3 linked regions of the Zea mays genome follow. The protein of the gene in region 2 binds, or shares a complex with, the protein of the main gene of each other region. Links are inferred from orthologs where the notes say so. Each region holds a gene or a part of one and is shown on either strand. Other genes may lie near its edges.

Region 1 (3,657 bases), on a different chromosome or scaffold from region 2:
CTGATTTGGTCAACTGCGGCACCCGAATCAATCTCTGGAGAAAGGATGGGCGCATGAGATGCTTCGGAAACAAGACCCACAGGGATCGAGGGCACAAGATTAAAGAACTTCAATAACGAAGAGATCGCAATTAAGGACTAGGTAGCTATCACAGGGCCATCTGGAAGAGGGAAACCCAAGGTGGCAGGAACTGAAGCGTTCTCTTGAGACATTTGAATTGAAGACCCTGTTGAAGGCGCTGTCAGCTCGGGAACGAGGCACAAGCCGCTAGGACTGAGTATTACCGGTCTATGGTCCTAAGGAGCTGTCAGGAGTAAGTATTGCCGATCTAGGAGTGGACGGGGTGTTACACCCGATCACCTTCACAGGCCTGCTCGACACCTATGGAAGAACTGGCACTTGATCATCCTAACGACCCAATCGTGTTGCAAACTGAGGCCGCCACAGGGAGGGAAGGTCGGACGATAGGCCACCACACTAGGGATCGCTGGACTGGACGACGCCTCCCATCGGTGCGGGCACACGTAAATACGGTGCCCAGGAAGCCGACAGTGGAAGCACCTCACTGGGCGACGACACACATCAACACGATGGGATGGGGACAAGCAATTGAAACACTTCCCACGCAAGTTGATAGGCTATGCTCTGGGAGGAGTTGAAAAGAGGGGGCGTTGGCGAAGAGATCGTCAACCCACAACCTTCATCATCCTTCGCAACAGGAGGACCGGAGGAGACAAGCACCTCTTGAACGTGCGGCGAGGTTGGAGAGGAGAAGGAACAAGATCCACGTCGTCACACCAGCGTTGAGCTTTAGAGCGGCCAACAGGACGAGGGGCCAGAGAGGAAGAGGGAGAAGGGGAGATCCCCGACGCAGGGTAGAGGTTGGCTGTGGCCGCCGGACTTGGGGTAAGTACTGACGTGAGGCTGTTGGAGGTAGGGGCGCTAGGGGGGAGGGGAGGAAAGGCTTAGGCGTGTCATGCCACAACAATCCTCAACGATGTACAATAATCTAAATATATTTGTAAATTTGTTTGTTTTTAAAGAAAATCGTCTGATTAGCATGCTAGCAATCTTGGTCAATGGTTTGAACTCCAGTTCCAATACCACTTTCGTAATTCATTTTTCACGCGATTGTGCTATGCAAATGCATCATTTTAATTTTTGGTAACTGATTCATGGTGAAAATTAAAACTTGTGCAGGAGCTTTTGTGCAAGTGAACTGCCAGGCCAGGTAATTCTGTCCTAATGATCCATTTAGTATCTGAGCTCTCAGTTTGCACATGATATTCCACTAATTGTGTCAATGCATAACCCGAACTTCCTTTTTGCAGAAGCTTGTGGGTACTCCGCCTGAACTTGCATTAGTTGTTTTTCATACCCATGGACCTTACAGTGGTATGCGTTTATATTGTTCATGTCCATGACCATATCAGTTCTTATGAACTCTACGAAATAGGTAATTTGTGAACATTTTGCAATTCAGCTTTTGATGTGCAGCGAAGTGGATGGACAAAAGATGTCGATGCTTTCCTATCATGGTTATCTGGAATATTGTTCAGTGGTGGAGGATTCAGTGAAGCTTCTACTTGTGAAGGTCTTGCTGAAGCATTGAAGGTATTAACAAGTTAATGTTGTTTGGATTTTTTTTTTCAGATGATGAGTTCTTCGTGGCCAAAAGTTACCAGTTAAAAGATTTTGTTTCACCTTTCAAGATCTCAACATTTTTCATATTTTGAATTTTGTTGTTGTGAGAGCATGATGTCGACATCGTGCTTTGTTTTGCCATTTTTCCTACTATCGTCTATTCCATTGGTTTGTTTTGTTGTTAACCAGTTCTCTATGTAAAAAGTTGTTTTATAGTTCGACCCGGTAGCAAACATCTATTTGTATCTATACTTGCATTTGAAAATACACCCCATATTTTCTTATATTGTTGTTTAATTACTTTTCATAGCTGGTAAATTACTCTGCACGTACATGATAATTGTTCCAATATATGCCACAATGTGATTTGCCAAGCTATGGTTTGACTGACAAAATGTGAACATTTTGTTCGCATCATTTTGAATTCTGGCCAGTTAGTAAAACACCTTGATCAAAAGCTCTGCCTTTCTTTGTCCCATAATCTATAGAGTATGCATAAGTAATCATCACTTATTATCATTTACCAATAACCTATTGGTAGGATTGCCCCCACTACGGAGGTTGTATGAATGGCTAATGGTTGGAGGGTTGGAGGAAGAAGGGTGAGAGGACGTCGTGCTGATGCCTGGCCTAGGGTTCAGGCGCAGCAATGGATTTGATGGGTGGTGGTGGGAGGTGGCCATCGGCCGCTGTCATGGCCGGTGGGTGTCCGCCATATCCAGGCATGCCGTGGGGCAGTCTGGTGGCGGTGCCATGGCCGATGTTCCTAGGGTGGATTCAACCACGGCAATGCGGGAGGACATGGAGGCCATCTGCGTGGCGAAGAGCCCCAGTTGGCGCTGGACTTCGGCAAGGGCGGTGGTGATCGCTGCCAACTCCGACGGCTGGAGGGCGACGGAAGCTGCAGTCTCAGCTTCATCAGATCCTGGCATATCTGATACCAGGTTGGTAGGATTGCCCCGGCTACGGAGGTTGTATGAGTGGCTAATGGTTGGAGGAAGAAGGGTGAGAGGATGCCGTGCTGACGCCTGGCCTAGGGTTCAGGTGCAACAATGGATTTGAGAACAGCAGGGAGGCAAGACTCAATCTCTTTCTTTGATTGATCTTTCCTGATTACAGACTAGAGGCATAGAGGGCTTATATACTGCCCGACCTAACAAGACTTCCTCCTTTTAAGGGGATCTAAACAAACTACCTTTATTTAAGGAAAATCTAAACAACTCTAGCTATCTTATCTGAGTACTTATCTGCTCAGCCTAGCTTATCTTCCCCTGGCTGCTTAGGTCGGCGCCCATATACTTTTCCAGTCATAACACCTATGTAAATTGCTAATTTCCCAGATAATAAGGATGCAATGAAATATAAGTATGATAATGATGGTCTGCGTGTTAGTTTCCTTGCATCATTTTTGGGCATCAGTCCATTTTGCTCACGATGGTGAAGCTTACACGTTAGAAAAAACTTGAAAAAACTTTGGTGATATGGTGTTCATCTTTCTTTTCTTTGAACATTAAACTATTGGCTATTTCACTTAGGCCCCGTTTGTTTCCTTTCATTTTGAGGAATTGGAATCTAACTAATGGAGTAGGCTATAAATTTACATGTTAGAAAAAGTTGAAAAAACTTTGGTGATATGGTGTTCATCTTTCTTTTCTTTGAACATTAAACAATTGGCTATTTCACTTAGGCCCCGTTTGTTTCCTTTCATTTTGAGGAATTGGAATCTAAATAATGGAGTATGCTATTTTTTAAGAACGTGACATTTCACAACTCTTCAAAGTTTATATATAAGCCTATCTCAAATTCATGGGGTGAGAGATAGAAATTAATTCTATAGATTTAAATGCTACTTTTCTAATGTACTGCTTATAGCACACTCTTCTACTTGCTTCTCTATAGCATAAGTATCTATAACTATCTCTCTCATATGATTTAGGATAATATATAAATATATTACATATACAAATATATTAACTTAATTAGTTTGTGTCTAAATTATGATTATTAGAATTG
Region 2 (3,091 bases):
GGTGGAGTTCGCCTAGGAGGCTTTAGCCTCTTGTAATTCTTTCTTTCTTAATCAAATGACATGTGGTTCTCCTGCGTAGTCCGAAAAAAAAATCATTCTCCATATCAAAGGCCATGACATCATCAGTAGTAGTGGCAGAGTTAGTGCTCCTTAAGCAGAAGAGGTAGGCAAACGATTGCTTTGATAGACTAAATCTTGTATTTATCTTAAGAGTAGGTGCATATGTCAGCACCTTACATTCTTAGCTCCCTTTAGCACCTACATTAGCATAATAGCATCTACTTTAGCATATATATCTGCATATGCTGAAATCTCTTAGTTTTCAAGTTTGCTTCGCTACTTCTATATATACCTAAACCTGCTATGTTTTTGCGTAATGGCTTAAATGAAATATAAAATCTTGTCCCAAAACCTGTGTCTATCCCTAGCATGCTTTGCCAATAAGCAGCCGGTCAAGAATGAGGTATGGATCCAACTGTTGTGACATGTGGTGTTGTGAGGTGGAGTAGATAGGGTCTATTTGGACCTAAGTGGCACACTAAGTTTAGGGACCAAGATAACAAGCCGAGACAAGCCTCTGAACCTAAAAATAACATTTTAAAAAACTGGGACCTCGACGTCACACAAAGACAGGCTTGAGGACTTAAAAATGCATTTTCGGAGTTTGGGACTTGAATGACACCCTGGAAAATATATGTAAATTCTGACAAAAAATGCTGGAATGATGCTAAATGATGAACATAAACTTGCAGCAGTTATTGAGGTTGCATTGCAGGTACAGCATATGCTGATCCAATTCGAAGTGACTAACACCTTGCCATACAAAGCTGTTGACTTTAAATTTAGACCACTTACAAGCTCATAACGTAAATCTAAAGTAAAACTGAGACTAGCTCAGATAGTCAAGGACAGTGGATGTATCTCTGGGGCTCTGGGCCACACAAGTTCAAGTCCTCATCAAGGCAAATTTCGGTGCATATTCTTTAATTATTAAATTAAAAACACCTTGTTCCTTCAAGGTTGGTTGAGCATTTAATTTAAAGGAAAAATATACCACATATTTCTAATTTTGGAGTAACTGCAAAGAGAAAACCGAGTATATACCTTCATGAACAAAGGTCGAGCAAAGGCTAGACGAGGTAACAAGGGACCCAATATGCGGAAGGCGATTCTTAACATGGCAACTGAATTGACTGGCCGAAGGTGTTTGATGACAGTATGAGTAGATTCCAGCCACTCTTGTGGAAGATTGCTAAAAAAGGAATGCAGAAGGGCAACAATGTTACCTGCAACCAAAGCACAAACGACATAAGACATAATTGAGGCACTAGCATATTAAGTTAGAGTGCAGATTTTGCGCCATTGATAGCTAAAACACCAAACTGCAATGTTCCAAAAGTCAACATAAAAATCATGTATGTAATACACATAAAGTATAGCCACAACAATTCAGTTTGAAATTCATCCTAGATGCCAAGAAATAAAATAGACAAGCAGTCAACCTGACACTGTTCACCATGTGTTGATAGTGACACTTCTATTTTTTTAATCTCAACATCAAAGATGAATTTCAAACTGATTTATTGCGGCTACACTTAACTTTAGGTCTACTACATACATGATTTTTGTGATTATTTTGAAACATTGCAATATGGTATTTTAGCTAACAAGGACGCAATATAATTTTCCATTAAGTTAACTCTGATCTGATCCAGCTCATAAGACTAAAGAAAAATGTTCTACCAATGGCTGTTGATGTATTGTCTTGGGAAGCCCATGTAGGATCCAACAGTGCATATCCAACAGCAGAGTCAAGCTCTTTAACAGGCCTGGAACCATCAGCAAGCCACCAGCAGTCTTTTATGACTCGAGCTGCTTCTGAGTATAGTTGCATGTGGAATTCTGGTGGGAGTTGTGCCAGCAGAAGACCACATGCTTGAATCATCAAAACAGACAATTGTTGGCAGGAGTAACCACTCCTAGAAACAAAGTTAGTGGCATTGATGCCAGTTGCAGCACTGTTCGCTTGGTTGGGACCTGAGGATTCAGCAGCCCCTGAAGGAGAAGTTGGCAGCCCAGAACTTTGCCCCAAACCACCTGACATTCCTTGGCCACTATTTGACTGTATAAGTATTGCTTGTACATGTGCTATTATTTGGACCAAAGAGGACACTATTTGAGCAGCAGGCACAGGAAGTGAGAGAATCTCAATAGCTGCTGTTTCCAAAACAAGCTGTGTATACGACCCAGGATCCTGATTCTGATAAAATGCCCTCTGGCCATCGGTGTTACCAACTCCACCAGGTTGTGAAGATGCATGATGTTTGTTGAAAGTCGAGCGTGTTGTGTCTGCTGGGTTTGATTTCGATTTGCTACTTAAAGGAGGTATAACATTATTAACGAGGTTTAGCAACAGGTTGGCAAAGTATTCTGGTGGTGGACATATTGAAGAATTTGATGACACTAAATATTTAGCAAAAGATTCTGAAAAGGGGGTCTGGAAAAAGCTCATAGTTAGCAAGTGTTAGGCACAAAGTGTTACAACTAAAAAAGTAAATAGGTTTACCTTAGTGCTAACACCCAGCAGGTTGAGGATCCTACCAATTAGTTTGATTGGAAGATGACCATAGAAATACGCAAGAATATCACGTACAAATGTAAATCTTAGCGGGTGGAAGGCAAGCAAGGAAGAATAGAATGCAAGAACTCTGTCTGCAATGTCAGTTGCATCATTCTCAATAAGCCTATAAATAATCAGTGGAATAACAGGAAGCAGACGTGCAGCAATGTCATCGAAGAAGGGTGGATAGCTGCATCAACAAAACTAGAGGACATCAAGATTCTATTACCACCATTGAAAACAAAACAATATGTATCTCAGAAGAAAACCTCACTTTCTGTTTGGTAAGTTGACAGCCAATAGTAGCTTTATAGTTTTGGAATAGGTGCAGCATATATTACAATAATTAGTTTAAAGCTGGGTATAAATGGACAAACAAGCACTGACCACAGATAAAATAATCCTAATATGAAACCATATTGGCCAAAAACATGACCAGAACATCCAAAATATCAAATTGATCAGACAACC
Region 3 (3,757 bases), on a different chromosome or scaffold from region 2:
ATGCGCAAATGCACAAGTTTGCCGCAAACAACGTATGCACTAGAAAGAAGAAACAACAAATTTAGGCATCGAAGTATATTAGGGGAGTAACCAGGATTCTCTAATAAAGAACTCGTCAAGGAACTATGAACCCAGACTTGACAGCAAAAGGTAAAGCGACCATAACCATACTCACCTTGTACCAATCACCATCGAGACCTGTTCTCCACACAGCCGTGACAACATCTCTTCGAGATCCCATGACACCTAGATAACCTCCAAGACCTACAGATGTTTTCAGACCAAATGCAGCATCTCTTTCAGATAACCTACGCTTTCTTGGCCAAAGATCAATCCCAATGGAACTGACAGCATCCACTTCCATGTCAGACAAATGAGAGTTGATGGAACCACTAATTTTTAGACGAGGCATATTGTCCAATGGACCAAAATCATCTGGTTCTGACCAGGGTCCACCAAACATGTTGCGTCTATGCCATTCTTCCGCAGGAGGTTGCAGTTCTAATTCTCGAAGTAGAAGTCCAGCAGCATCAGCTCCTCGTGGACGAGGCATATTCTACAGAGTTACAGACATAGGAAACAATGAAATATTGAAAATAGATGGGGAAGTAGGCATCGAGGGATCACTCAAAATGCCATGTCTAAGGCCCTGGCAGTAATAGTGCATGTTTCTATAAAAAATGGCTAATACAAAAAAGATAACTTCTGCTAAGAGAATCCTAATCAACATTTAAAGGTGGTCGTCCTGAATTCAGTTCGAAACAGGAAGACTTGCAATATCTCTGAGTCGTGCACTTGAAAATCAACTTCTACTCCTATAATTGATAGATGTTGGTAGCTCAAAATGGCCACAAATAGTACGAAAGCGACCATTAGAAACTTCCATGAGAATTTGACTAGTACCTGCATATGGGGACCAAGAGACGCTTCCACTACCTCAGGGAGCACTGTGTAGTTGCCGTCAATGTAGTGCAGCCTTATGATAATGCTACTGGAACCAACCTGAGAGGCAGGCAATGGATGCGGCAAGGTAGATGTCCTTCGACATAGGTCAACCAGTATAAGAAAAAGGACCTTGACCTACCAACAATGAAATAAAATTACAGAGATAATTAGATAAACTAGACAAAAAGAAATCTTCCAAAGAATAGAAAGACAGATCTGTAAAGCATCTGATAAATCACTCAATAGAGATCATGAACGACATATGCAATCAAACTGTTGTTCATGCTAGGCTGGACAAAATTTTAAACTGCTTAAATCAAGGGTCCAAAATAACCTACATACGCAATTGCACTCTATGATGGCTATATCGACATGTGTTCTCCCATAGCAACCAAAGCTAGACATTTCCAAAGAAATGCAGGAGCCAAAACATAGTTGTTTCCAAACTAATCACTATGTTCAGGACTTCAGGTCACCAGTTTTCCAGCGCATTTGGCACATCGTCAGCTTCTTCACACTAACTCCCAAAGTTCAAATGCCAACGATCAGTCCCAGTTTGGTAGCACTAACTCCCAAAGTTTCCTTAGTATAACTCAATATTAAACTCTGTAAAAAATACTATATCTTGTCAAGAATTTGATAATCACCTCATCTGAAGTATAACCTTGCCCAGCGTTGCCAGAACCTATTCTAACAGATTTGCCAATTGGATTTTCTTCAGGACCCTTTGCACCACCAAGAACAAATTGTCCACCACGCGCAGAGTGACCTTCTTCTACTTTGGCAGCCCCTAGACCAGATCTTACTGTCGAACTGTTATCTTCTGTCTTAGCATTCATCATGTGTTGTATTTTCTGCATGGCAGAATCTTGATTTTTTTGCGAACTGGCAAGTAACCTTGGTGATTGCCTTCTTCGGAAAAGCAGACAAAATAGCAGTAATTGACATAATCTATGAAGAAAATGGCAATCCCCAATAAGTCTCACAGCAGGTGTGCCAGGGAAAGTGCCCGTATTAATGCTGATGGGCATAAATGATGTCCTCGTGCTCATTGGATTCTGTGTTGCAGTGGCAGCACCATCAGAATTGTTACTAATCTTAGCAATTGCACCTTGGACCCACTCCTGCATTTGTGAGTTCCCTGTTGCAGATGTTGATCCCCCTTGATTACCTGAAATTTGAAGGAGCATCAAGATGCTAGCAGCACTAAATAAACAACACTTTAAGCCTCAAATTTGCAATGAAGAAAACATAAGGTTTGGATGTACTTTTTTGCGCACAAACAAGAGAAAAACACAAGATTTAGCAAGCTAGCAGGCATAGCTAACCTTGATTATTTGATGGCGAAGGAGAACTGTTTGTTGGACTTGTAACCATATTTCTAGAAGTGCCTGTGGTAGAAGATGGCCCCACATGGCTCGCCAGAGTTCGACAGAAACTCGCATAACGCCGCAAGCGAGTTATGAAATGTGATGCTAAATCAAGAACAGCATCAACGTAACCCTGCATTTGAATGCAAATAAAATAAGCTATTTCCTAGTAACATAAAGAATCCCTATGCAGATAACCTGTGCTGAAATTTATACAATACTCAACATTAAAAGGCTGTAATACACCAGTTTTGGCAAAGGATAACAGACATTGCACATGAGTTCACCAACATAACTAAAGTACCGTTTACATGGAAGTGATCTAGCATACCAATATACTGCTCACTACTTTATAAAATGAAAAAAAACGGCTCAGTAGCAAGTCTTAAAAGAATAAAGTCAGTAAAAAGAAAGAAAGAATGTTAGATAGCTGAATTTAAGTTCCATGGCTATGAAATAGAAACAACTTGCATAAAGGAGACAGCTTGACCTGGATGTTTGGAAGCAGAGCTGGCTCAACAGTCATTTTGTCAGCATCGATGCTGGATAACATATCACTGGAAGCTTGCCAGGGCTCAGGTAGCAGAGTTGATGGATTTGTAAGGGCAGACTCGATTCCTTTGCCTAGCATATCCAGAAGTAATCTTGCTTGCATGTCCAACACAAGTGCCCGTACATCTTGGGCATTTGTTCCTTCCAACAACCTACACTTAATCCTATCAAGGTTCTGCATGTACAATTGTACATTCATTAATCATAAAAGGAAGAAAGGTAGTAAATCAAACATTGAAGCCAAAAAGGTATAAAATATGAAATATCACCCAAAATTCCAACTGTCATATTAACTCATCACAACCCAAAATATCATATGAATCAGCTGTCCAGCCAGTCAATTAATTTAGAGACACCTGCTGAGATGCCAATGATTTTCAACCCAAAGGCAAACAGCCACTGGAAAAGTTTCTAGCATCATTTTGCGGTTAAAATAAAAAAATGCCACTGTTGTAAATGCCCATTAAAATGTACAATTTACACATACTTGTGGCCAGGGGCGGCCCCGGTCCAATAATACTTATATCATATCATAATTTTAGTCCATAAAATCCAACAAAAATAGGTAACAGCCTTCCATCTAACCGTGGCATCTAGCACCCGCACCCGATCTCGTCCACGCAGCCATGTCGCCACAGCACACCAGCACCAAACAGTAGTGCCGCACACACGCGCGCCTGGCCCCCATCCGTGCCATAACACTGCAGTAGTGCCAGTGCCGCATCACAAAGCCTGACGGGCAGCGCACTGTGCACCCACGCCGCCACGCAGGACACGGCCACGGACCAGCGTGCATGGCCGACACACCTGCAGCAGCTAGCAGCGTGTAGGCGCCCAGCAGCCAGCACAAGGTGCAGGCCAGCGCAAGGCGCACGCTGCAGCCAGCACAA

Evidence for each region.
Region 1: Mediator of RNA polymerase II transcription subunit 23 (region 2) and mediator of RNA polymerase II transcription subunit 25 share a complex: the UniProt entries of both Arabidopsis thaliana proteins name them as parts of the mediator complex. The link is inferred for Zea mays from reciprocal best matches to the Arabidopsis thaliana genes AT1G23230 and PFT1.
Region 3: Mediator of RNA polymerase II transcription subunit 23 (region 2) and uncharacterized protein LOC100216950 share a complex: the UniProt entries of both Arabidopsis thaliana proteins name them as parts of the mediator complex. The link is inferred for Zea mays from reciprocal best matches to the Arabidopsis thaliana genes AT1G23230 and SFR6.

Annotation. Positions count from the first base shown.
Region 1 is NC_050097.1:178,597,691-178,601,347, reverse strand, and holds part of mediator of RNA polymerase II transcription subunit 25, read left to right. Parts: intron 1-1,200; coding exon 1,201-1,231; intron 1,232-1,331; coding exon 1,332-1,395; intron 1,396-1,483; coding exon 1,484-1,614; intron 1,615-3,657. UniProt on the Arabidopsis thaliana protein: Component of the Mediator complex, a coactivator involved in the regulated transcription of nearly all RNA polymerase II-dependent genes.
Region 2 is NC_050100.1:213,163,127-213,166,217, forward strand, and holds part of Mediator of RNA polymerase II transcription subunit 23, read right to left. Parts: intron 2,811-3,091; coding exon 2,567-2,810; intron 2,498-2,566; coding exon 1,744-2,497; intron 1,287-1,743; coding exon 1,105-1,286; intron 1-1,104. UniProt on the Arabidopsis thaliana protein: Component of the Mediator complex, a coactivator involved in the regulated transcription of nearly all RNA polymerase II-dependent genes.
Region 3 is NC_050096.1:232,623,725-232,627,481, forward strand, and holds the start of uncharacterized protein LOC100216950, read right to left. Parts: upstream 2,842-3,757; coding exon 2,806-2,841; intron 2,449-2,805; coding exon 2,274-2,448; intron 2,117-2,273; coding exon 1,593-2,116; intron 1,081-1,592; coding exon 904-1,080; intron 557-903; coding exon 176-556; intron 40-175; coding exon 1-39. UniProt on the Arabidopsis thaliana protein: Component of the Mediator complex, a coactivator involved in the regulated transcription of nearly all RNA polymerase II-dependent genes.